Linked DNA regions of Ovis aries. The protein of the gene in region 2 binds, or shares a complex with, the protein of the main gene of each other region. Links are inferred from orthologs where the notes say so. Each region holds a gene or a part of one and is shown on either strand. Other genes may lie near its edges.

Region 1 (4,338 bases), on a different chromosome or scaffold from region 2:
GGCAGGATGGGGGCTGTCGGGCGGTGGCGCAGGGCGGGGGCAGAACCGCACATTGGCCAGGCATTCTGGCTCTTTGTTGTCGTGGAAGTTACATTTGTTTTGAGAGCAACAGTGCGTCTGCAGGGAAGACCAGAGCCTGTAAGAGATGAATGATAACTGCTTAGGCCCATGGTGGGCCAGAGAAGGCAAGTACCCCACCTTCTCAACTTCCCTGTCAGGGCTTGGACCCAAGGGACCTGTTTCCTGGGGACAAAGACATTTATCAGAGGACGTGGTATGTAGCTCTCAAACCTAGCTGCCCTGGGGCCATCCTGCCAGCCCTCCTTCATTTCTTTACATTCTGATCTTTACATGAAAGACCCTTTCATCTTTCCACATCAAAATCCCAGCCTCACCCACCTCCCCTGCCCCCCAACTTCTGCTCATAAACCAGGGCAGGACCCGAGATAGCATGTGCCTGGAGGACAGACCTGAGACCCCTATGACCCGCCACGCCACAGGGATTGCCCAGTGGTCCTCTCCCATACCTGTTCCCCAGAAGGCCATGGTAGTAAGCGAAATAGACCAGGGAGTTGTCATTCTGCTCATAGGAAGAGAGTCCATTGCCCACCGCCAGCCCCTGTGAAACACCCAGGGCGTTCAGCTCATCTGGACGTGGGCCAGAAGAGCCTCCTTTGACCTCCACCCAAACCTTAAGCAGTCTGGAAGCTGAAACCCAGTGTGTGGGAGTGGTTGGGCGGGGGAGGCCACTCGGTGTAAAGAATGGAGTCGGCAGCTTGATGAGTGAGCTTCCGGTCAGGGGAGGCACGTAGCCCAGAGGGGCCAGCGAGTGGCAAGGGGTGTCATGAAGGAAGAGGTGGACGAAGGAGCTGACGTTCTGCTCATAGAGCAGGGGAGGTAGGACCTGGGGTACCACATGCCTGGGGAGACCTGCCGCAGGGGATTGCCCAAGACGTGGGTGGAGGAGTGGAGCTGTTTGACCTTGCTAACCACAAGTCTAGGCCTCCCTCCCCTCTGCAGCCTCCCTGCACCTGAAGGTTCATGCTGGGGTCCTGCATGACCAGCACTGCCAGGGTTGGGATGTAGATGCCGGCATAGCTTTCGCCAGTCAGGAAAAGCTCATTGCCCTTGTATTCTGGGAACAGGCGGAAGAAATCTTTAAGGGCTTCGAAGTTGCTCTGGGCGACCTAGAGAGGGCAGGATAGAGGGAATCAGAAAGTGGTGGGGCTTGAGCTACAAACAATCTCAGAGATAATGACACCCACCCACCCTGTTTGTGCAAGAGCCTGTGACTAGTCCAAGCCCACACCCCAGAGCTGGTGACAGAGCCACAAATGGGCCCCCAGACCAGGCTCTCTTTCTCCTTGCGTCACGCCAGCCAGGGAGACTGGGACACGAGGGCGGACTCTGGACTCACCTCCGTGTCATTGGTGGCATAAGACTTGTCATCGGAGTAGGAGAAGCCCACTCCAGCTGGGGACTCGAGGTATAACACGTTGGCAATCTAGAGGGGAAGTGGAAATGGGTTGAGGGGGGCTGTTCCCTTCCCCATCCAACTGCTGAGACACCCACCCAGGACCCAAAGGGGCAGCGATACCAGGTTCCAGGAGTAGGGGTTGTACTCCAGGGTGACACCATCTGGCTGGATCTGTGGAGGAAAGAGATGGCTAAATTCCAAGAGTCAGCTGGGTGGGGGGTGCAGTGGGGGAAGGTCACCCTGCTGGGTATTGCACAACCAGGCAAAACCCCCTGAGATATGAAACTGTCAAGTCAGGGGTATGGATGAAGACACCGAGGCTCAGGAAACGGACACATTTTTTGGAAGACCAAAGTCCTTTTCTCCCTCTTCCCGGGCCTTTTCCTTTGGGAACTGTCCCCTCCCTGCCTCTGACCAGGGGGTGACCCCGCTGCTCTCCACTCACCAGGAAGGGGCCGTGCTCTGTCAGGAGGCCGTCAAGGGAGCTACAGCCTGGCCCTCCATTGAGCCACAGAACCACGGGTCTGCTCTTCGGATCCTTCTGGGACTCCACAAACCTGGGGGGGGGGGGGGGCGGGGCGGGGAGTCAGTCTAGGGTGGGTGCTGGTGCGAGGGACTGGGTGCAGCTCGGTCTTCCAGCCTTCCCTACTCCTGGATTTCCTCAGGGATTTTTTTTTTCTTCTTCATCTCACTTTGACGGCAGAGCATGCGAGTTCTTAGTCCCCCAACCAGGGATGGAAACCCAGTCCCCTGCAGCTGGAAGCACTGCAGCCTTAACCAGCGGACCCCCAGGCAAGTCCGATCCCTCAGGGGTCTTAAGGACAACCCCCCACACCATCATCTCCCCCCACGGTGGGCATTGCAGTGCCCCCCTCCCAACCCCGTCCTGGGAGACAGGGCTGCAGACCAGTAGTGGAGGCGCTTGGAGCCGGAGCCTTTGAGGTAGCCGGAGTACTGGCGGAAAGAAGGCTGCTTGGCCAGCCCGGGCAGGAAGCGGATCTCGTCCTGGTCGGGGGCCGCTTCGCCCTCGGGCGAGCAGGCGAGCAGCAGCAGCAGCTGCAGCAGGAAGAGGACTGGCGGCCACAGCTCGGCTCGGAACATCTGCGGCGGGAAGCGGGTGCCCGCTGTGGCCTCGCCCGCTCTGTGCTCGGCCGCCCCTGGCGGGGAGCTGGCGGCGCACCCTCCAGGGAAGCCCCTGCCCTGCCCCAGCTCCCACCCGCCGTGCCTCCTCCGTCGCGCCCCGCCCGGGGCGCTCCCGGATCGCTTCCAGCCTCCGGGATCCCTTCCAGCCCCGGGATCCCTCTCACCTCCGCTCCCTCGCGTCCTTGCTCTCCTGGAGGTGCCGGCCCGGCGACGGGAAGTCATGTGTACTCCGAGTCACGTGTGCCCCGGCATCACGTGACGGGCCGCCTCCTGCCCCCTTCTGGCCTCTAAGGACCCAGGCGGGCAGGACGGGGGCGGCGGAGGTTCCACCCGGGCGAAGGTCAGCGGGTTCGGCAGGTCGCATCCCGGGCGCCGGCGGTCCCGAGCCTCCTGGGACTCGCATCGAGGCGGGATGGCCAAACTAGCGGCGCTAGGACCCCTGGGCAGAGCCTTGGGGAAGGGAGTCGGTGGGCGGAGGGCAATACCTTACATGGTACACTCCCCCTCCCCCGGCGGTCACCATCTGAGTCCGCTGCCCAAAATAGCCTCCGGCGCCCGCCGATCTGCCCCATGGCCGGGAGATGGCTGCTGTCTCCGACCCCGTGGGGTTGGGTGCTCCGCGGGGACCGGCGCGCCCCGAGCCCCCTCCCACCCGCTTCCACCCAGTGCACGGTGCCAACATCCGCGTCGACCTCTCCGGGACGCGGGCCACACGCGTGGAGAGCTTCGCCCACGGTGTGTGCTTCAGTCGCGAGCCGCTGGCCCCCGGCCAGTTGTTCCTGGTGGAGATCGAGGAGAAAGAGCTGGGCTGGTGCGGGCACCTGCGCCTCGGCCTGACCGCGCTGGACCCCGCCAGTCTGGCCGCCGTGCCCGAGTTTTCGCTACCTGACCTGGTCAGCCTTGGGCATACTTGGGTCTTCGCCATCACGCGCCATCATAACCGCGTGCCCCGGGAGGGCCGCCCGGAGGCAGAGGCCCTAGCCCCTAGTCGCCCCCCAGCACTCCTGGTGGAACCGTATCTCTGCATCGAGCAGTTTCGCATTCCCCGCGATCGCCTGGTCGGCCGCAGCCGGCCGGGTTTGTACAGCCACCTCTTGGATCAGCTCTATGAACTGAATGTGCTGCCTCCGACCGCGCGCCGCAGCCGCCTGGGCGTTCTCTTCTGCCCGCGCCCGGATGGCACGGCTGACATGCATATCGTCATCAACGGCGAGGACATGGGCCCCAGCGCCCGGGGGCTGCCAGCTGCCCAGCCCCTCTACGCGGTGGTGGACGTCTTCGCCTCCACCAAGAGCGTGCGCTTGATCCAGCTGGAGTATGGCTGTAGGTATCCCATCCCCTGGGCAGCGACCCCTCCTGGCCCCCAGTGGGGACAGAAACCTGCTAGGACTTCTGGACCAGCTGGCAAGGCCTTGGTCTGTCCAGGGTTGCTTTAGAAGTTGGGGAACCTGGGACTTCCCTGGTGGTCCAGTGGCTAGGACTCAGTGGGCCCAATGCAGGGAATTGGGATTCCATCCCTGGTCAGGGAACTGGATCCCACGTGCCATAGCTAGGAGTTTGCGTGCTGCAACTAAGACCTGGCACAGCCAAATAAATACATAAATATTAAAAAAAAAAAAAAAAAGGTGGAGGGGGGAATCTGACTTCAGATTCTGCCTCTGCCTGTGGCCTTGGACAAGTCAATTCCCCTGGCTTTGGGCCTCGATTTACCCACCTTG
Region 2 (4,178 bases):
CACCACTGGGGGCTGGGCGGCGTTCAGCAGCCCCACCACGCTGAGCACAGTGGTTACCACCACTGCCAGTGCCGGCCGAAGGGCCAGCTTCCTGGTCTTATCAAGGCTGCCCACTGCTCTGCCGGCACGCCAGGCCAGGAGCTGGTAGGCCTGCTCCATGCCGCTGAGGACACAGAGGAAGCAGAGCATGATGACATAAGCCCCAAGGCAGGTGTAGGCAACCAGGGAAAAGAGATAGGGCTCCTCGGCCACTAGAAAGATCATGGTGAAGAAGCTGGAATGCGCCAGGGCCAGGAAGGCCACGACGATCATCTTCCAGAGCTGGAAACAGGCTGACTCTGCAGCCGGGGAATGCTTGAGATTGCTGACGGTGCTACGCCAGATGAAGATGGAGCCGAGGAGCATGAGCGAGTTGGCAAACAGGGCGAGCTGCAGGCGGAACAGGCATCGCCAGGCCCTGAACTCCAAGCTCTCCGCCAGGTAGGACCGGGAGACAATCATGGACACGAAGACAGTCCCGGCAGCCAGGGCGGCCTTTGCCCCCAGGGACAGCTGCCTGAAGATCGTCATTGCCTCAGCTCCTAAGAGGATACCCCTCCAGCTCTGTGTGGGTGAGCTCTGGAAGGTGAGTTCCTTAGATAGGACAGTGGCCAAGGACAGGTTTCCAGGTCAGCTCCTCCTGCAACCAGGAACCGGCGTCAGCTTTGTGGGATATGAGAGCTTTCTAGTCCCCTGTCAAAACCTGAAGACCACTTACATCTGCCCAACCAGCCTTGAATCCAAGCCACTCACTCAAACCAGTCAAAACTAGTCAGCTGCTACACTTTACCAGTGAACTACAAACACACCTGATTGTAACAAGATGGGCAGTTTCACTTTTCTTACAGTTCTCTGCATCTTTCAAGTATTTCCACAACATGTATATGAACTTTTATAATAAGAAAAACATTATTCTAAATCAGCGGTTCTCAAAGTGTGGTCCAGGGAGACCCTTTGGCTGTTGGGGTTGCGGGGGAAGCGAGGCGGGGGGCGGTGTCTACTGACTGTTTTCAAAAACAGTACTAAGCCATAATCATTCTCTCATGAATGTACAGTGAAGTTTCCAGAGGTTACGTGACATGTGAAATGGCAGAACTGAATGCAGAATTAGTTACGAGCATTCAACAGCCATCTATTAAGACAGACATGAATGGATACAAGTATACATATGGCTGAGTCCCTTCGCTGTTCACCTGGAACTACCACAACATTGTTAATCAGCTATACCTCAATACAAAATAAAAAATTTAAAGTTTGAAAAAAACAAAGTCTAATCTCCAAAAAAAAAAAAACATGAAAGAGATTTGCAAAAATGTACAATGTCACTTTGTGCCCTAAAAACTGGAGAGAACAACTTGTTTAAAATATATATATATATATAGTTTATTAACATATAGTTTTAAATGTTCTAACTTCTAGGACAGTTACAGTTTGAGAACCGCTGTTCTAACGTGTAAACCAGGGAGCCATGGAAAGCTAGTCTGCTGGTATTTTTTTTTCAGCTGTAGGCCAAGAAGGAGAACCGAGGCAACTGACATAAAGATTCCTGGGGTGGAGCCAGTCTCCTGATTGGTTCTTACAGCTGGCTGGCTCCCAGACAAAAAACTGCAAGGGAACTACAGACCTGGATAGACAAAGGTTAGCAAATATTCACTTGAGGTGACCTTTTCCCAATAAGACCCCAAACGAAAATATTTTCAGCAGTTGTTTTCCAAGTAAAACTCTCAACCTTGCTTTTAGATAAATGTAGGCCTTGTCAAGTTCACCAGCTTCTACTTATAAAACAAACCCCAGACTCAGCCCATCGGAACTCTGGAGGAACCAAAATTAGGTCCCAGAAAGTGCAGAGAGAAAGGCGCCCGTTTCAAGTCCCCATTCTCATCTCCCAGCTCAGATCTTCCTCACCCCCACCTTTCCAAGACCCCGAGTTCCCTCGGCCGCTCCCTTAGCTCTGCCGGGCAGACTGAGGCTGTCCTCCCGCAAGCCGTGCACGACTCCCCCCACCTCCCCGGCCCCCGCGTCCCCGCCCCAGCACACAGCCCGCCGGCCCAGACCTCCCTCCAGCAACGCTGGCGGCCACCTGCAGCCTGCCCCTGGCCCACCGTCAAACGCGGAGGCTTTGAAAAATCCAAGCCTTAAAAGCAGGCGGAGGGAAGTAGCGAGACGGGCAAGAGACGTCCTCAAAGAGCACACCCCGAAGGTAATTAACCCAGTGTTCCCATTGCTGCGGCCTCTCGTGACTCCGCTATTCTCCTTCCGGAGCGCTCCGCACAGCGCAGGCAGGAGAGGCGCGCCAAGCCCGAGGCTCCGGCGGCCTCCAGGAGCGCGCGCGACTCCGATCCCACTCCCGGAAACCCGCCAAGCTGGAAAGCACCTCATCTCGGCCCCTGGTTGCACCGATAAGGAAGTGGCTCTCGGCGACAGAGGCGGCGGGAGCGGAACTCACCAGCGACAGAGCGCCCGGCAAGGACGCGCGCCCCGCCCGGCCCGGCCCCGGCGGGAGGGCCGGCCCACTGCCTGAGCTTCCCGCGTAGCCGGGCGGGCCCGGGCGGGCCTCGGGGTCCCAGGACCCCCGCCCAGGGGGCCGCAGGGGGCCGCAGCCCCAGCCCGGTTCCCCGCCTGCGCTCCCCCGATTCATCATTTGTGCGCGGGGTCCTGTGGACTTACGTGCAAACCACGCGCGGAGCCCAGCAGCAGCGGCGCCAGCAGCAGGGCGAGGAGGCGCACGACCCCCGGCATGTCCGTCCGCTCTCGGGCCTCCCGGCTCCGCAGTCAGCCGGGGCAGCCGTTCGGCGTCGCTTGACCGAGGACCCGGGGCCTGGCTCCGCCCCGCGCCGCCCCCGCCCCGCGCCCCGCCCCGCCGCCGCAGCCGCGGAGCCCGGAGCCGGCGGAGCCGAGAGCCTGGGGCCACACGCGGCCGCGGGACCGCAGGGCAGTGTTATCTGACCTCCGCCGGCCTCCGCCTGAGGGAGGAACCTTTTGCAAAGCCTCAGGAGTACTCGCTGTCAGCAGCTTGATAACGCACCTCGGGTTTGGACTTTAACAAGGGTCTCCTTGCTCCCCGGCTTCCCGGACACGACAGAAACGGAGCAGTTAAACCTAAGTGGACTAGATGGATCCTCAGCCCTTCATAGGGGCAGTCTGGAAAACAACCAGGAGTCCGCCAAAGTGTGGTCCCTGATCCAATCTTCTATCTGGTACGTGTTGGAATTGGAAATAACGAGTCCTCGCCCAAGAAACCCTTGCAGTCCAAGGGACCCTCAAGAGTCTTCTCCAACACCACAGTTCAAAATCATCAGTTCTTCAATGCTCAGCTTTCTTCACAGTCTAACTCTCACATCCATACATGACTACTGGAAAAACCATAGCCTTGACTAGACGGACCTTTAAGAGTAAAAATGTCCTTCTCACAAGAGTCTTTGGACACTTTTGAAACTAAGTCCCTTTATCTGGGGTTTCAGCAACACTGTCTTCCCCCTTAAAGCATAATTTCACTGACATGAGTAAACTATTTAGATTCAAATCTAAAAACTATTCAGAAGAGAAATTGTGAATACCTATCACAGGGGGAAAAAATCAAATGAAGCTGTTGTAGGTATTTTTGTGATATTCATGATAGCAAAGGAAGGCATAACAGCAAAGAAGAAAGATAATCACGAATCTATAAATAGTAAAATGCAAACACAAGTATATTATAAAATCTTATTTCTACCTAGTAGCACCAGATAATTGGAATGTCATTAATCATATTGCTCAGAATAAGGTTACAGGGTTTCCTTACCCTACTGCTCTCCACCCGGGTGCCCTTTCCCAATAAAATCTCTTGCTTTGTCAGCAGATGTGTCTCCTCAGACAATTCATTTCCGAGTAGGGATAGGGTCCAGAAAATCTATTTTTACAACCCTCCAGGTCATTCTGACAGCACGCAAAGCTTGAGAACCATTATTCCAGGTTCGGTTCAGTTCAGTTCAGTTGCTCAGTTGTGTCCGACTCTTCGCGACCCCATGAATCGCAGCACGCCAGGCCTCCCTGTCCGTCACCAGCTCCCGGAGTTCACTCAGATTCACGTCCATCGAGTCAGTGATGCCATCCAGCCATCTCATCCTCTGTCGTCCCCTTCTCCTCCTACCCCCAATCCC

The links. Proteins that work in one complex are often made in the same cells at the same time.
Region 1: the proteins of GLB1 (region 2) and CTSA are in contact, whole or in part, in a cryo-EM structure (PDB 7KDV), measured with the Mus musculus proteins. The link is inferred for Ovis aries from reciprocal best matches to the Homo sapiens genes GLB1 and CTSA. Residues at the interface, in NP_033882.1 of Mus musculus: Tyr198, Asp199, Arg202, His206, Leu229, Thr233, Leu234, Gln235, Asp236, Leu237, Lys258, Phe259, Glu260; in NP_001033581.1 of Mus musculus: Glu29, Asp31, Ala37, Lys38, Gln39, Pro40, Ser41, Phe42, Arg43, Tyr107.

Annotation. Positions count from the first base shown.
Region 1 is NC_056066.1:74,627,308-74,631,645, reverse strand, and holds the start of CTSA (lysosomal protective protein), read right to left. Parts: upstream 2,833-4,338; 5' UTR 2,785-2,832; intron 2,579-2,784; coding exon 2,385-2,578; intron 2,035-2,384; coding exon 1,923-2,034; intron 1,649-1,922; coding exon 1,598-1,648; intron 1,505-1,597; coding exon 1,418-1,504; intron 1,188-1,417; coding exon 1,032-1,187; intron 620-1,031; coding exon 528-619; intron 137-527; coding exon 52-136; intron 1-51. Other genes in the region: NEURL2 (neuralized-like protein 2), read left to right, coding at 3,202-3,943. UniProt on the Homo sapiens protein: Protective protein appears to be essential for both the activity of beta-galactosidase and neuraminidase, it associates with these enzymes and exerts a protective function necessary for their stability and activity.
Region 2 is NC_056072.1:7,452,222-7,456,399, forward strand, and holds the start of GLB1 (beta-galactosidase), read right to left. Parts: upstream 2,814-4,178; 5' UTR 2,779-2,813; coding exon 2,707-2,778; intron 2,493-2,706; exon of another isoform or gene 2,142-2,492; intron 680-2,141; exon of another isoform or gene 571-679; coding exon of another isoform or gene 1-570. Other genes in the region: TMPPE (transmembrane protein with metallophosphoesterase domain), read right to left, coding at 1-570.